2 linked regions of the Drosophila melanogaster genome follow. The protein of the gene in region 2 purifies or fractionates together with the protein of the main gene of each other region. This does not show direct contact. Each region holds a gene or a part of one and is shown on either strand. Other genes may lie near its edges.

Region 1 (8,090 bases), on a different chromosome or scaffold from region 2:
TGCTCACGCGCATCCACCAGTAGCTACGGAAAACAGAATATCAAGCATTAGGCTAGAGTTCGGACCTTGTGAATGGGGAGGCTTGGCTGGCTGGCTGACGCATGCGCTAGTTAATGGAGCTTATGCAGATGAGTACGGTCGCTCGCGAACAAGCACTGGGAATATGCACATTGTATTCGAAATGGGTGAGTGGCTTACGGTTCACGGTTCACTGTAACAGGTTATCAGGCAAAACGGTAACGGCACAACGGTTGAATTTATGGCGTATCAGGCGGTTGAAATGAAAGAAACAACGTGCCGGCCAGCAGTCAAATCATAAGCTTCATTGCACGGGAAAACGGATGCGGAGTCATCGGGTGAATTACCTAGGCTCCGGTGCAGTCACTCTCTCCCGCAATGACTTTTGCAACTCTCTCTACACTTTTCACGCTCGCTGAACGGAGGACGCGTTGTGGTGACCGCCCGGTTGGGAACGGATACCAGCAACGCAGCCATCACAGACTATTCGGGGTAATCGTATTATTTGTATTTGTTTTGTGTGGTATGTGCTTAGTGGGGAAAAAGAAGAAGCGTCGCCTCTGCCGCCGACGCTTCTACCTCCTACCGGCCGTCCGTGAGACGATCCGGATCGGGTGCGTCAGCGGTCGTGTCTGTTACCGCCACTGCAATTACGACCACATCTTTACTGTCACTGCCACTAGTCACTGCCGCGTCGACTGCAACCGAGCCCTCGACGATATCGCTGCCTTCCACACTGCCGTGACCAGCTATCCGTTTCGCACAAACCAACTCAAAAGTCTAAATGAATGGGGATAATGTGGAAACAAATGCAAATTACAAACAAGTTCGTTTAGTAAATCAACTCAATCGAATTGCATTTTATGCAACAGCTAAGCGAACGACATAGAAAACAAAAAAGAAGACCAAAGAGCCAGTTAAATAATAAAGAATTAGTTAAACCCGCAAAAAGAGAACCAATTTATGTACATTTTCATCGTATTAAGCCCGCAACTTGTTATTTTTGAAGCACAGACCCAAAGAAAGTGTTAACCATGCATAGATTTAGTATCTACGTTAGTGACATGGTCACAAGGGATAGATAAGCGCTTCAAGGTGAATGCCTCTCTAAACTCACCTCCTTTTCGAGCTCCGCGGGCTTGCCATTCCAACTGAGCACGGGGGAGCCGTATCCACGATACGATTGCTTCAGCAGCTCATTGATGGTGCTCCCATTCGAGGTGGCATTGCTCTGGTAGCCATTGCCCACCCTTGGCTGCTGGTGCGACTTGAGCGCACTGCCGTTGAGCAACTTTTGGCGCTTGGCGCCTGGCGTTGCGGGCGAGTCCGTGGAGGGCTTGCTACTCGAGAAGGGATTGCGATGGTTCTTGTTCGGCGTCGGAATTTTCACCGGCGATCCCTCCACCACCACGACGTCAACATCATCTTCGATGGCATCGACCTCATCGTTACGCGTAACTTTCCAGATACCCGTTTTCGATTTGATGACCGCTGGCGAGGGTGGCGTCTTTGGCGATGGTGGTGCTTTGCTTTGAGACTGTGATTGCTTCTGTGGGTGCCAGCCATTCGTTAGCTGAATGCTGGGCTCCTCCTCATCGTCGTCCTCATCACTGTCTGCGGACTTTTTTAGGCTCTTGAATATCTCGTCTATGGCATCAGTCTTTTGTTTGCTGTTGTTAACGTGAACCGATGACGAGGCTGAGCCGTTGGTGTGGCTGCCATTGGTCTTACTGTGACCATTGGTCTGGCCAGACTCTTGGTCCGACTCGCTAGAATCCTCCCCACTTGGACGCTTGCGGGGATTCGGTAGAGGCGCCTCCTCCTCCTCAGATGCTGATTCGTAGGGCACAAGACTTTTCAGTGGCGTTTTGACGGGAGTCTTTACTTGAATCTTTACAGGAGACTTTGCCTTAGGCTCCGTATGATTCTCCGTCATATTGGGCATGCTCGGTAGCTGGGCTGTCGTTGGTCTGGGCTTCATCTCATCCTCGATGTCTTCATCATCCGAGGAAATTGGCAGATATTGTTGCTGGTTTATTGATTTATGGTTGCTGCTGCTGTTGCTGCTTGGGGAGGAACTTTTGTTACCATTTGCAGTGGGAGCTGAAGTAGCTTCGCCTTTAGCGTGAGCGCCAACCAGTGGAGGCTTCGCAGTGTCCTGAAACTTTCCGGTACCCAGCTGGAGTCCGTTCTGTGGACTTTGCTGGTTTTGTTGCTTGAACTGGATGGCGGTTTTCTGGGCATTTCCATTAGTGTAACCGTTTGCTCCACCCGCCGGCAGTTGAGGACCAATGAAACGCGTTGGTGAAGGCGAAGACACAGTCGCCGCCGGCACTGGCGTTGTGCTGTGTCCGTTGGTCAAACGCACTCCATTGGGCCTGTTGGCCGCCGGACTGGCAGCCTGTGAGAGGTCCAGTTCGAAAAACATTATATAGGCATTTGTGTTGCACACACTGTGCATTGCGATTGGCCGCACGTAGCTGTCGTCGAAGTTGTAAAAGCTGCCCGTATCCGTGGAGCCAATGGCCGTGTAGTGACCGCAGTGCTGGGACGCCCCCAAGTGAGTGACCATCGACACCAGGCGATAGGTGAGCGGTTGAGCCTGAGCTGCTTGTGAACGGGCTGCGTATTTGCTCAAATCTATGCGTGACTTGAAGGAAATCTGCTTGGTCAGTTTGTTGCCGATCATGGAGAATCGCTTCAGCTGTATACAAAGCGTGATTGGGGCACGCTCCAAAGAGAATTGCTTTGTGGCAGATACCTGCAAGCGATACGTTTAAATAAAATGAACTACAGAACAAAGGTCACAAAGACCTACCTTCTTCTTGCATCCCTCGCACTTGTAGCCCATATCCTCTAGCCGTTCGCGAGAAAAGTGTCCCTCGAAAGCATCCTCCAAGGAGTCTGCCTTGCGGATGTCGAGCAACAGATCCTGGAAGTGCTGAAACGTAATGGACACATGGTTGCAGCTCAGACAGCGCACCTCGCTGCGCAGATAGCCGCCAAAGATCTGTCCCAGCGGCGTGGTCTCCTTAACCAACTGATCCAGCTCTTTGTAGTTACGAAACCGCATCAAATACGCCCGCTCCATGGCCTCGACCAGGAAGCGCAGGAACTCGTGCGCATCCTCTTGGCGACCAACGACCATGTGTTTGCAGATCTGCTTTAGCTTCGAGTAGATGAGGAAGGGTCTGACGGCCGACTGATTGCTTTGGGTGGCCAAAAGTGTTTTGGTCATGGCGCAAATGATGCAACCGCTGCCAGGTTCGGCCACATTGCAGTCAGCCAGATGCGCCTGCTCCGAAACGAGCCAATTGGCCAGGGCGGGTATGTGCAGGAGCGCCTGAAGCGTTGAGTTGAGGTAGCAGGTGTTGCCCACATTGATCATGCCCGTGCCCACCTGCCATTTGCGCTCCGACTGCTTCCAGCCAATGCGTATGTTCTCCCGCGGATAGAGGACCCTCTTCGGCTTGGGCAGCTCATTGGGATTGCTTGTCGGATGCTGATGATTGTGGTGGTTGATGTGGTGCGACTGATTGTTCGGGTGCTCCGCTTGCTTGCGGGCGCCGTTATTGTCTGCAAAGGTAAAGAGGACGGTAGACAGTTTAAGCACGTGCCACAGGAGAAGGCAGCAGGGAGACAGGAACAGCTTGTAGAGCAGCCACAGGGCGAACCCGTCCACCATTATCACAGTCATAATGCATTTATTGGAAGAATTCCCTTCTGCAGATTAAGTCACTTGATCCGCGCTGCTATGAAATATAAATAAAACGAGCAGTGCTCGCTGTGGAAACTGCTGACACACAATCGCGCTTCCATCACCTGTTCGCAGTGTTGGAAAGGGTACACATTTGTTGTACCTAGGCACCGGACTGTGCAGCATTAAGATAGCTATTCTATTGAACAAAGAAACTTGAACACAAAGTATACGCCGAAAAAAATTTCCAGTACTAGATTTTGAAATACAATTCTTTGAACATCGTTACAGAATGTGATATCACCAGATTTTATCTGAAAATATTTTCACAGCATCGTAATTTCATATGTACCCTGAATATGTATCTTGCAGTTTTGTTTGGGAAAGTGTACCAATCGAGGTACTTATCCTGGTACACATATCTCAGATATTACCCAGCACTATTGTATCTTTGATAACAGCTAGCGTGTGAGCGGGATGGCGACTGGCAGAAGAAGAAATTTAAACTGATAACAGCAAGCGAATGAGAGGGATGGCGAGTGGTGAAGCAGTCCAAGTGTCTGCTGCCGACGAATACAGTGGTCTCGTTCTGGCGTAGGGGGTTGGGGCGGCAGTGTTGCCAACTGAATTTTTGGCGCGACCTAACAGTGGTTGTTGTAGGCCCAATGCTCCCCCCTTTTATTGTCTTTGTAACTGTGTTCGAGGCATTGACCAGGCCAAAAAAAAGAAAAGAAAAGAAAAGTCGAAACATCGTGTAACAGCTCCTGGTGCTGAGCTTTGTGTCCACTTCCTGCTCTGTGTGAATCACTTCTGCGAGTCTGGCCTTTGTTTGTGCTCTTTTTATCACGCAAAAGCAGATTGCGGCGCATTTACCGCATCTAAAAAAATAAAGCAAAGCCAATAAAAGCACCGCTGGGGCTGGCCATGTGCGGGGGAAAGAGACGGAACTACGGAGGGGAGCCCTCGTGCTTTTTGTCTTTTTTTCCTTCTTTCATTTGCCGCTGGAAATACAGCACGTTTTTTTCCGCCACAACTTCTGTGAATCAGAAGTTTGGAAGAGGCGGCTCTGTTGTTGCTGCTGCTGCTGTCACTTTTCCAGCTTACTCTTTACGGCGTTGTACTTGTTTTGCTTTTTCCGCGTATTCCTTTGCATTCTGTTTACACGTACACCACCCAAAAACGCCGTCACACACGGACACACACGCACGCACTCACATACAGAAGCGCCTAAAAAGTACAGGTATGCTGCGCTGCCGACGTCGACTGCACTGCCGACAAAATGCAGGCGGAGCAATAAAAAAAATATGTTTGCGGAAAAACATCACACGTGATTTGTGGAGGGATATTCCCAAAAGATTTGGCAAAAACAAACGGGACGATACATAAATACATTTAAGTATATATACATCTTATATATATAATATGAAGATATAGCACATGGAAAATTGCGCAAAAATTGCCACACAAAGAAGAAACACAGACGAAGGCGCAGACGGAAAAAGCCACTTTTGCAAGCAACTTTTGGATTTTACATTTTGTTGTATCTTTACACAGTGTACTCACCATGTCCATTTGCGCCCACAAGTTTGCCTGTATTGTTTTTGCCACTAAAGCCATTGATGGCGCCTGGATTTCCCGGCTTGATGACAATATATTTGGACTTGAGGTTCTCCAGCACCGATTCGTGGTAGTTGGGCACCTCCTCGTATTCGATTTTGGCCATCAGGATGCGTTTGGCATTGGCCACGATGTGATTTTGCAGGCTGCCGTTGGTGTCCTCGCCGCTCTTGGCCTGGTCAGTCGACGAGCCGGCGGAGGAGTTGCCGCCAAGGGATTCGCGCAGCGCTGCGTTGACGACATTCGCCGTTTCGCATACGGCCATCGAAACGGGCATGGCGATGCTCCGGCTGGGGATTTGCGGTGGAATTTTGAACGGGTGTGAGGGGCGTGGTGTGGCGTGTGTTGGTGGTTTTCGCCACCCAGTTAGCTAATGCACATGGGCGTGCGATCCAAAGCAGATACTAGAGATCCTTCTGCACAGCCCACACGTCCTTCAAAACTCTCCTACTGCTCTACGCTCACTTTTCTCCTCGCCCCTCTCTCGAACACTTCTTGTTTCACACACCGACTGCGACACCGACACACGCACACTAACGCACTCGGGAGCACTCTTCTTTTTCTGGCTTTTTCGCGCTGCGATCTCGATCTGTTGGCCTACTGAGCATTACGATTAAGAAACGTTCGCTCACAAATTGATCTGTTTCAATTTCGTGCGCGGCCAGGCATTTTAGAACGAAAAGTCTGCTTTCGAAAATAATGGCAATTCCTTCCCTCGTGTTTCTTCCGACTGCGGATTCTCTTTTCGCTTCATTTTCGTCATTTGGGGATGCCAACTCGCGAGTGGCCAAGTGACGCGATAGGCCTCTCGAAATGTCCTAAAGCATTTCACGATATTTACAAAAATGTATTTCGATGTTTTCTTAACAATAAAAAATTGGTTTAAATTTAATAAGACATTTGTTACCTTGAATATGTAAGCAATATCTTATTGAAAGGCTTGCAGCGACATTTTTTATTTATGCCTACTATTCAAGTTATAAATTTAATTTTTATAACGGTATTTTTACACCTTATCAGCACATATCGATAAGTGTGATTGGGAACGACAACCCATCGGCACAATGTTGATGCAATTGTTGAGCTAGCCTTCATAATTAGTCGCAATCAATCGAGCAGAATGGCTTCATCCACAGGTCTCCTGGTGGTGTCCAACATCAAGCACCTTGGCAAATCCCTGCGAGCCATCGAGAAGTACGTGAATTCACTGTACATCCACCTAAATGTGGCGGGGTCAACGTCCACGACGTCACCAGTTCCACCGCCTCCGGTTTGGGGTCGTCTAATCTCGCAGCTGTACGCCAACAGCAGCAGCTATGTGGGCAAGCAGTTGGACCTTCGCGTCCTTGTCTCTCCCCTACGACCAGGTGCCAATGGATCCCTGAAGTTGCGCCAGCCCGTCGACCTAATCTTCTCGGATGCACATCATCCGGAGCTGTGCGACAGGCTTCGCGCGGATCTTAACATCAGCAAGCCAACAATCTTCCTGGATGACTCGGTCATCTCGGATTTAAGTGCCCAGCAGGATGACACCCAGCCGCCTAAGGTGTATCCCTCGGTTGTCCTGGGCGGAACATTCGATCGCATCCATCTGGGACACAAGATATTCCTCACCCAGGCTGTACTGCGCACCTGCAAGCGTTTGGTTGTGGGCGTAACCACCTCCGCCATGACGAAGGGTAAGACGGGCATGAATTGGCAAAATAAAACGCTTATCTTAACGACCATTCTTATCGCTGTCTGCAGGAAAGACGCTGCCGGACTTGATTTTGCCCGTGGAAGAGCGCATCGCCCGGCTAAGGGAGTTCCTGGTGGACATAGATGATACGCTGCAGTACGAAATTGTGCCCATCGATGATCCCTTTGGTCCCACGCAAGTGGATCCTGACCTGGACATGATTGTGGTCAGTGCGGAGACGTTGCGAGGAGGGCAGAAGGTCAACGAGGTACGCTCCGCTAAGCAACTGCGCGAGCTGGAGATCTTTGTGATTGACATTGTTGAAAGCAACGTGCATGATGGCATCCACGAGACCAAGGTCAGCTCGAGTAACACACGCATCGATCTGCTGGGAACCCGCTGGAGAAGGCCGGAGCCACGACCACAGCTCCCGCCGCGCCCTTACATTATTGGACTCACTGGCGGCATCGCATCTGGCAAGAGCAAGATGGGCGAGAGATTGGCCAACATGGGCGCCCACGTGATCGACTGCGATAAGGTGGCGCACGATGTTTACGAACCTGGTCAGTTGTGCTACACCCGAATTGTGCAGCACTTCGGACAGGGTATTGTTTCAGACGATGGTCGCATCGATCGGTCCAAGCTGGGACCCTTGGTGTTTGCCGATCCCAAGCAGTTGCAAGCACTCAACGGCATTGTCTGGCCGGAACTTATTGCGGAGGTTAACAGGCGGCTGGATGCACTGCGTTCCCAGGCGGACGTGCCGCGTGTGGTGGTCCTGGAGGCAGCGGTGCTGCTGCGAGCGGGCTGGGAGACCAATTGCCATGAGGTGTGGTCCATGATTGTGCCACCGGATGAGGCTGTGCGGCGGATTATTGAGCGCAACAAGTTGAGCGAAGTGGAGGCCCAAAAGCGACTGGCCAGTCAGGTGCCCAATTCTGAGATCGTGGCCAAGTCGCATGTGATATTCAGTTCGCAATGGGATCACGAATTCACCCAGAAACAGGCGGAGCGTGCGTGGAAAATGCTTACCAAGGAACTGGACTCTTACCAGAGCAGCCTTTAACCCGATGGATATTT
Region 2 (4,799 bases):
CCGGAGGCCAAATCAGTAAGTGGCAAGACTTAGTTTAAATGTAAATGGATATGTCTAATGAATTTTTAATTATTTGCTCCTTACTACAGTGGCCGACATAACGGGGGGAAAGTACCGAACTTGCGTCTCCACACTCTTTGAGCAGTTCTGGTCTATTGGGGTAATGATGTTGCCCGGAGTTGCCAGCTTCTGGTCCAGCTGGTCCCACCTCTACATGGCCATCTCGTGGCCAACTGTGATACTAATCTATCTGTGGCAGTGAGTAATCAAAAACAGATATTGATAGCAAACTCATAGAGTTAGAGGGTTATCTAGATTCGCATAAGTAACGTATTATAAGTAACCCTCATAAAATACATTTATTATCAGGATTACTAGCCCAAAAAGGAACTGCTGTGCAGCATTCATGTGTACCAACATTTTGTGGCCCATACTGACACTTGCGTCTCGCATCCCTTTTACAGGTGGATTCCCGACTCGCCGAGATGGCTTATCGCCCGCGGACGCACACAGGACGCCAAGAAGATCTTGCTGGAGTGCGTGGAGGTGAATGGGACGGGCTACAACCTACCGCACGACATCGACCAGCAGCTGGAGCTGCAGGCGCAGACCGCCATGGACGCTCCTCCGCCGAGTGGCTGGTGGTCGATGTGGAAGGGGGAGCGAGCGGTGCGACACATTGTGTGTGTGCACCTGGCCTGGTCGCTGTACATTGTGGTCTATTACGGCATGCTGCTCAACATCCGCTCCTTCAGTCGCGACCACCTGTACATTAACACCTTTTTCGCGGGCTTCAGCGAGATGATGGGCACTTTCTTCGGGCTCTTCCTGATTCTGAAAACCACCCGCAAGTGGCTGTGGACGGGACTCTTTAACATCGTGGCAGGATGCATTGCCTACTGCGGCTGGCTGGTCCCGAAGCCCAGCGTAATTGGGCTGGATCCGAATGTAGCCCTGCTGATGTGCTCTGCCATGGTCTCGAAGATGGCCATTTCCACTACGCTCAGTATACTGACTACCTGCACGGTGGAGCTGGTTTCCGATGACAAGAAGAAGATCACTTCCTTCTCCACGATTTGCTGGGCCCGTTTCTGGCTGCTGGGAGCGCCCTTTATTGGATCCACAGTGGTCTTCGGCCAACTCATTCCCCAGACGGCCTTCGCATCTCTGGCCATTCTCGGTGGCCTGTGCACCTCCCTGATCAGCAGTCCCAGGACCCATCCCATCTCAAGACCCTCCTCGCCTGCTGCACAGGGAACCCAAAACATCACCTCGCAGTTCACCATCATTGACGGCATGGACAACAAGGGGTACAGCCCCACCTCGAAGACCATCCACTCGAACAGCACTATTTTAAAACTAAACACGCCGCAATCGAATCTACCTCCACAACTGATGCCCGGCATTTGGACGACCAAGATAACCGAGGATGGCCCACCCATGTGAACTGCCTTCAGAAAGCGTGCGTTGACAAATTAGCGGTGTGTTTGGACTTAAGATATAGAAATTTTTCTATAGCCCAGGAGTGGAGCCTCTATGATAATAAATCATATGCTGAGGGAAAGAAGCAGATGTTCAAAAAGTTAAGATATTGCTAGATTCACAGCTATGGCCGCGATCTGGTTCACTTTGGTGGTGCTGTGACTTGTAAACTATAGTCTATACAATTTGTTAGCGGTATATACTATGCGCCCGCTTTATAAGTTTATGGGCGCACTTATTGTAAGACACATTAGCTATCCTTTTTAAGAGGAAGAGTCAATATATTACTAGAATTTTCGCACACTTTTGTAGTACGTACATCAACTTCAACCTAAATCGGAGTGCTCAAGTGAGAAAGTCTCGCGCACTTGAAAACAAAATTACCTTAGGCAACACTTAAGCTAAAGCTGTGGAATAGAATCCTCGAGCAAATTATTTTAAATGGATAAATAAGCTCGCCGACAAAACCCAAACCCATACATATATTTTCCATTACCTTTAATTTTAGGGATTAGTTTATTTAGGCTATCCTCAGAAGACCTTAAATCATTCAAGTCTGGGATAAGCTTCAGCGCAGCCATAATTAGTAGTCTCATAAGAAAGTAAGTCAGATGTGGAGCACACCTTGAGAAAAAGGAGAAAGCCCAGTATTAAGCAGTCACTATTGAACCAAATCAAAAACGTACCGAATCGAACCTCACTGCACAGACAAACCATCTTTAAATGGTGATCCTTCTAAAGGCCTGTGGTTCCACATTAAGTGATTGTGTTGTAAACACCTGGAGAGAATTTCATGAAAAGACATACGAGTAGTTACACAATAATTATATATTATGGACAACTTTTATTAATTACCTTAATCTAATAATACTAATTGATTAGAACAACAATAATATTAACCTACACATTGAATAATTTACATTCGTTACGTATTGTAATTATCAATTACCAAGCTAATTTAAAATAAAACAATTAGTAGTTTTCAGGCTCTACATAAATACACAAGGCATAAATTACAATACATAATATTTTTAAAGTTGCATCACCTAGTGAATACGCTTAGCAACTTGTTGAATGTTATCATATATTGGTTACTACATAAAAGGAAGTGTTATACATGGCAAAAGAGCAATATTTTTCTAATAAAGCATCATCATAAAAACGAATTGATTTATTTTTTATCGTTGTTTGTTTTTTGTTTAATTAACGAGGGATATCTGTTATATCGATAGAAATTGAAAAAAAATATATATTAAAACAAAAAGAAGTTTTAAATTTGTAGAAGTGTGGGCGGTTTGTGGGCGTCAGAAGGGGCGTTGCTTTTGTTGGTAAATCGGTACAAATTTACAAAACCAATAAGAAAATCAAAAACATTTCCTAAAAGTGTGGGCATAGCAATCTTTGGCAGTTTGTGGGCGTGGCAAGAAGTGTTCTGGCAAATCGATAGGACCGAAGTTTGGAACCTTCATGGCCAATCTCAACTTTCTAGCTCTTATACATGCGTACTAATGTACATACATAGTTCCTGAGATCTCGAAGTTCATACGGACATGGACGGACCGATCCTGGTTAAGAATAAATAAATACTTGTTCACTATTAGTTAAATTTCCAAATATATAACTTTTCGGAATCCCGAACGGTTGAGTCGTTGAGTTACGCGGTTGCATTACAATTCTCAGAAGGCAACAAAATAGGGTGACGGTGTTGCCAGCCCTAATAAAGAGAAACATAATCGTCGAGTAGAAGTGCTCTCGTTTATGGATTTAAGAGAATGAAGTGCCTAGTTTTATACTTTAATATTAAATATTTGGACTTTCTGCGCTAATAATACGGCAGACTCCGAAAATATGTACAATACGATGCATATAAATCGTTGTTATATAAGGTCACTTTCCGAAATATATTCCTATAAGTTATTCTTTATAAAAATAATATCAAACAACAACACATCTTAACTTTATTGTGATAAAAGATGATTTTACATTTCACTACATAAAAAAATTGAGCAGTCGTCACTACTTCAATACAACATATCCAATATCAATATTTTACTGCAGCGTGTCAAATGTTTGTTTAAAAAAGCGTATTAACTGTGTCAAATGTAAAATTTTTTTTGGCACAATAATGTACTTGAAAACTTTTATATGCGATCTACCTGTGTTATACTTTAAACTTTTGACTTGTACTCTTCAAGTATCGTGTGCTAGAAATATAAAATGCAGTATTATAATACTGTGTATATCTACATAAGTAGGTAGCAAACATTATATTCTCGGTGACAAAAGTGATTATGGTAATAATACCAAAGCTACTGTTCCCTTTTTAATTCCAATTCTTTATTTTGACCGACTTTCATTTACTTGAAAATTCGTTGAAAAAAAAAATAAAGAAAAACTTGGATTTTATTTAACCATTCATAGATCGAAATATTGTGTAAGTGCAATTAAATAATGTTATTAATAACATGCTAGGTAACATTTGCCCTCTGGTATTTTTTCCCTGCTGGCAATTTGGCCACACTGTCACTTATGCTTCTTCAAATTGTAGCGGCATTTTCGCCAAAGCAACGTTGGAAATTCGCGTCACCAATTTCATATTGCGATAAATAAGAGTTTTATCCGAAAACGTATAGCTTAACTGTGTCATCGGCCTGTAGAAGAGCGCTGCCTGCCGGGATACACATATGCCATGGAATTCGACGACGCAGAAAATGGCCTAGGAATGGGATTTGGTGGTCGCGGCGTTCTGCGGGAGATCAACAAAAACGATGGCGGCATTAAGGTAAGTTAATAGCTGGACTTGGAGGCGTGCTCCGTCCGCGATGTACCAATGCAGCCACTTTCGGCAGAGGCATAATTCAACTCACACGTCTACAGGTACATATGTGTGTGTTCGGTTATGTACTTTGTACATATGTGTGGGTATGCTGCGTCGCAGGCTGTTCTGCTATTTTCTTTATTCGCAATTGTTCATCGTAAATACATATGTACATATAAATTTCCATTATTCGCTGTTCCTATTAGCTCTGAGGCAGCTGTCGCGAACGAGAGTTCTCTAGTTGATCGGTGTCCGCCGGACATTGTCCATCCCAGGTGACCAGTTTCCCCGATCTGCCATAGCCATAGGAGAATGGGCAATAAGCCGGGCAAGACACGGAAACCGAGGGCCTTGTCCGGGAAAATTACCATAAAGGCGGACGACGGACGAGGGAATCGGGTATGCCAAGGGAAAATCAAAAGTTACTTATTCTTCCTTCTATATATTTGTCTCTTGAAATTTCCACTCTCCAGATGGTGCACTTTCCATTTAAAAATGC

The links.
Region 1: the proteins of atms (region 2) and scny purify together in Drosophila melanogaster (affinity purification with western blotting; one study listed by BioGRID). This does not show direct contact.

The regions. Positions count from the first base shown.
Region 1 is NT_037436.4:5,767,122-5,775,211, reverse strand, and holds the start of scny (scrawny), read right to left. Parts: upstream 6,211-8,090; 5' UTR 5,610-6,210; coding exon 5,279-5,609; intron 4,048-5,278; exon of another isoform or gene 3,902-4,047; coding exon of another isoform or gene 3,841-3,901; exon of another isoform or gene 3,716-3,840; coding exon of another isoform or gene 3,595-3,715; coding exon 2,837-3,594; intron 2,780-2,836; coding exon 1,136-2,779; intron 799-1,135; coding exon of another isoform or gene 601-798; exon of another isoform or gene 199-600; intron 24-198; coding exon 1-23. Other genes in the region: Ppat-Dpck (bifunctional phosphopantetheine adenylyltransferase - Dephospho-CoA kinase), read left to right, coding at 6,453-7,011, 7,079-8,076. UniProt on the Drosophila melanogaster protein: Hydrolase that deubiquitinates polyubiquitinated target proteins including imd. Required for preventing the constitutive activation of the imd/NF-kappa-B (Imd) signaling cascade under unchalleneged conditions.
Region 2 is NT_033777.3:4,748,256-4,753,054, reverse strand, and holds the start of atms (antimeros), read right to left. Parts: upstream 3,021-4,799; 5' UTR 3,001-3,020; intron 2,647-3,000; exon of another isoform or gene 2,262-2,646; 5' UTR 2,169-2,261; exon of another isoform or gene 2,107-2,168; 5' UTR 1,979-2,106; exon of another isoform or gene 1,447-1,978; coding exon of another isoform or gene 465-1,446; intron 259-464; coding exon of another isoform or gene 90-258; intron 16-89; coding exon of another isoform or gene 1-15. Other genes in the region: CG44098 (uncharacterized protein), read left to right, coding at 1-15, 90-258, 465-1,446.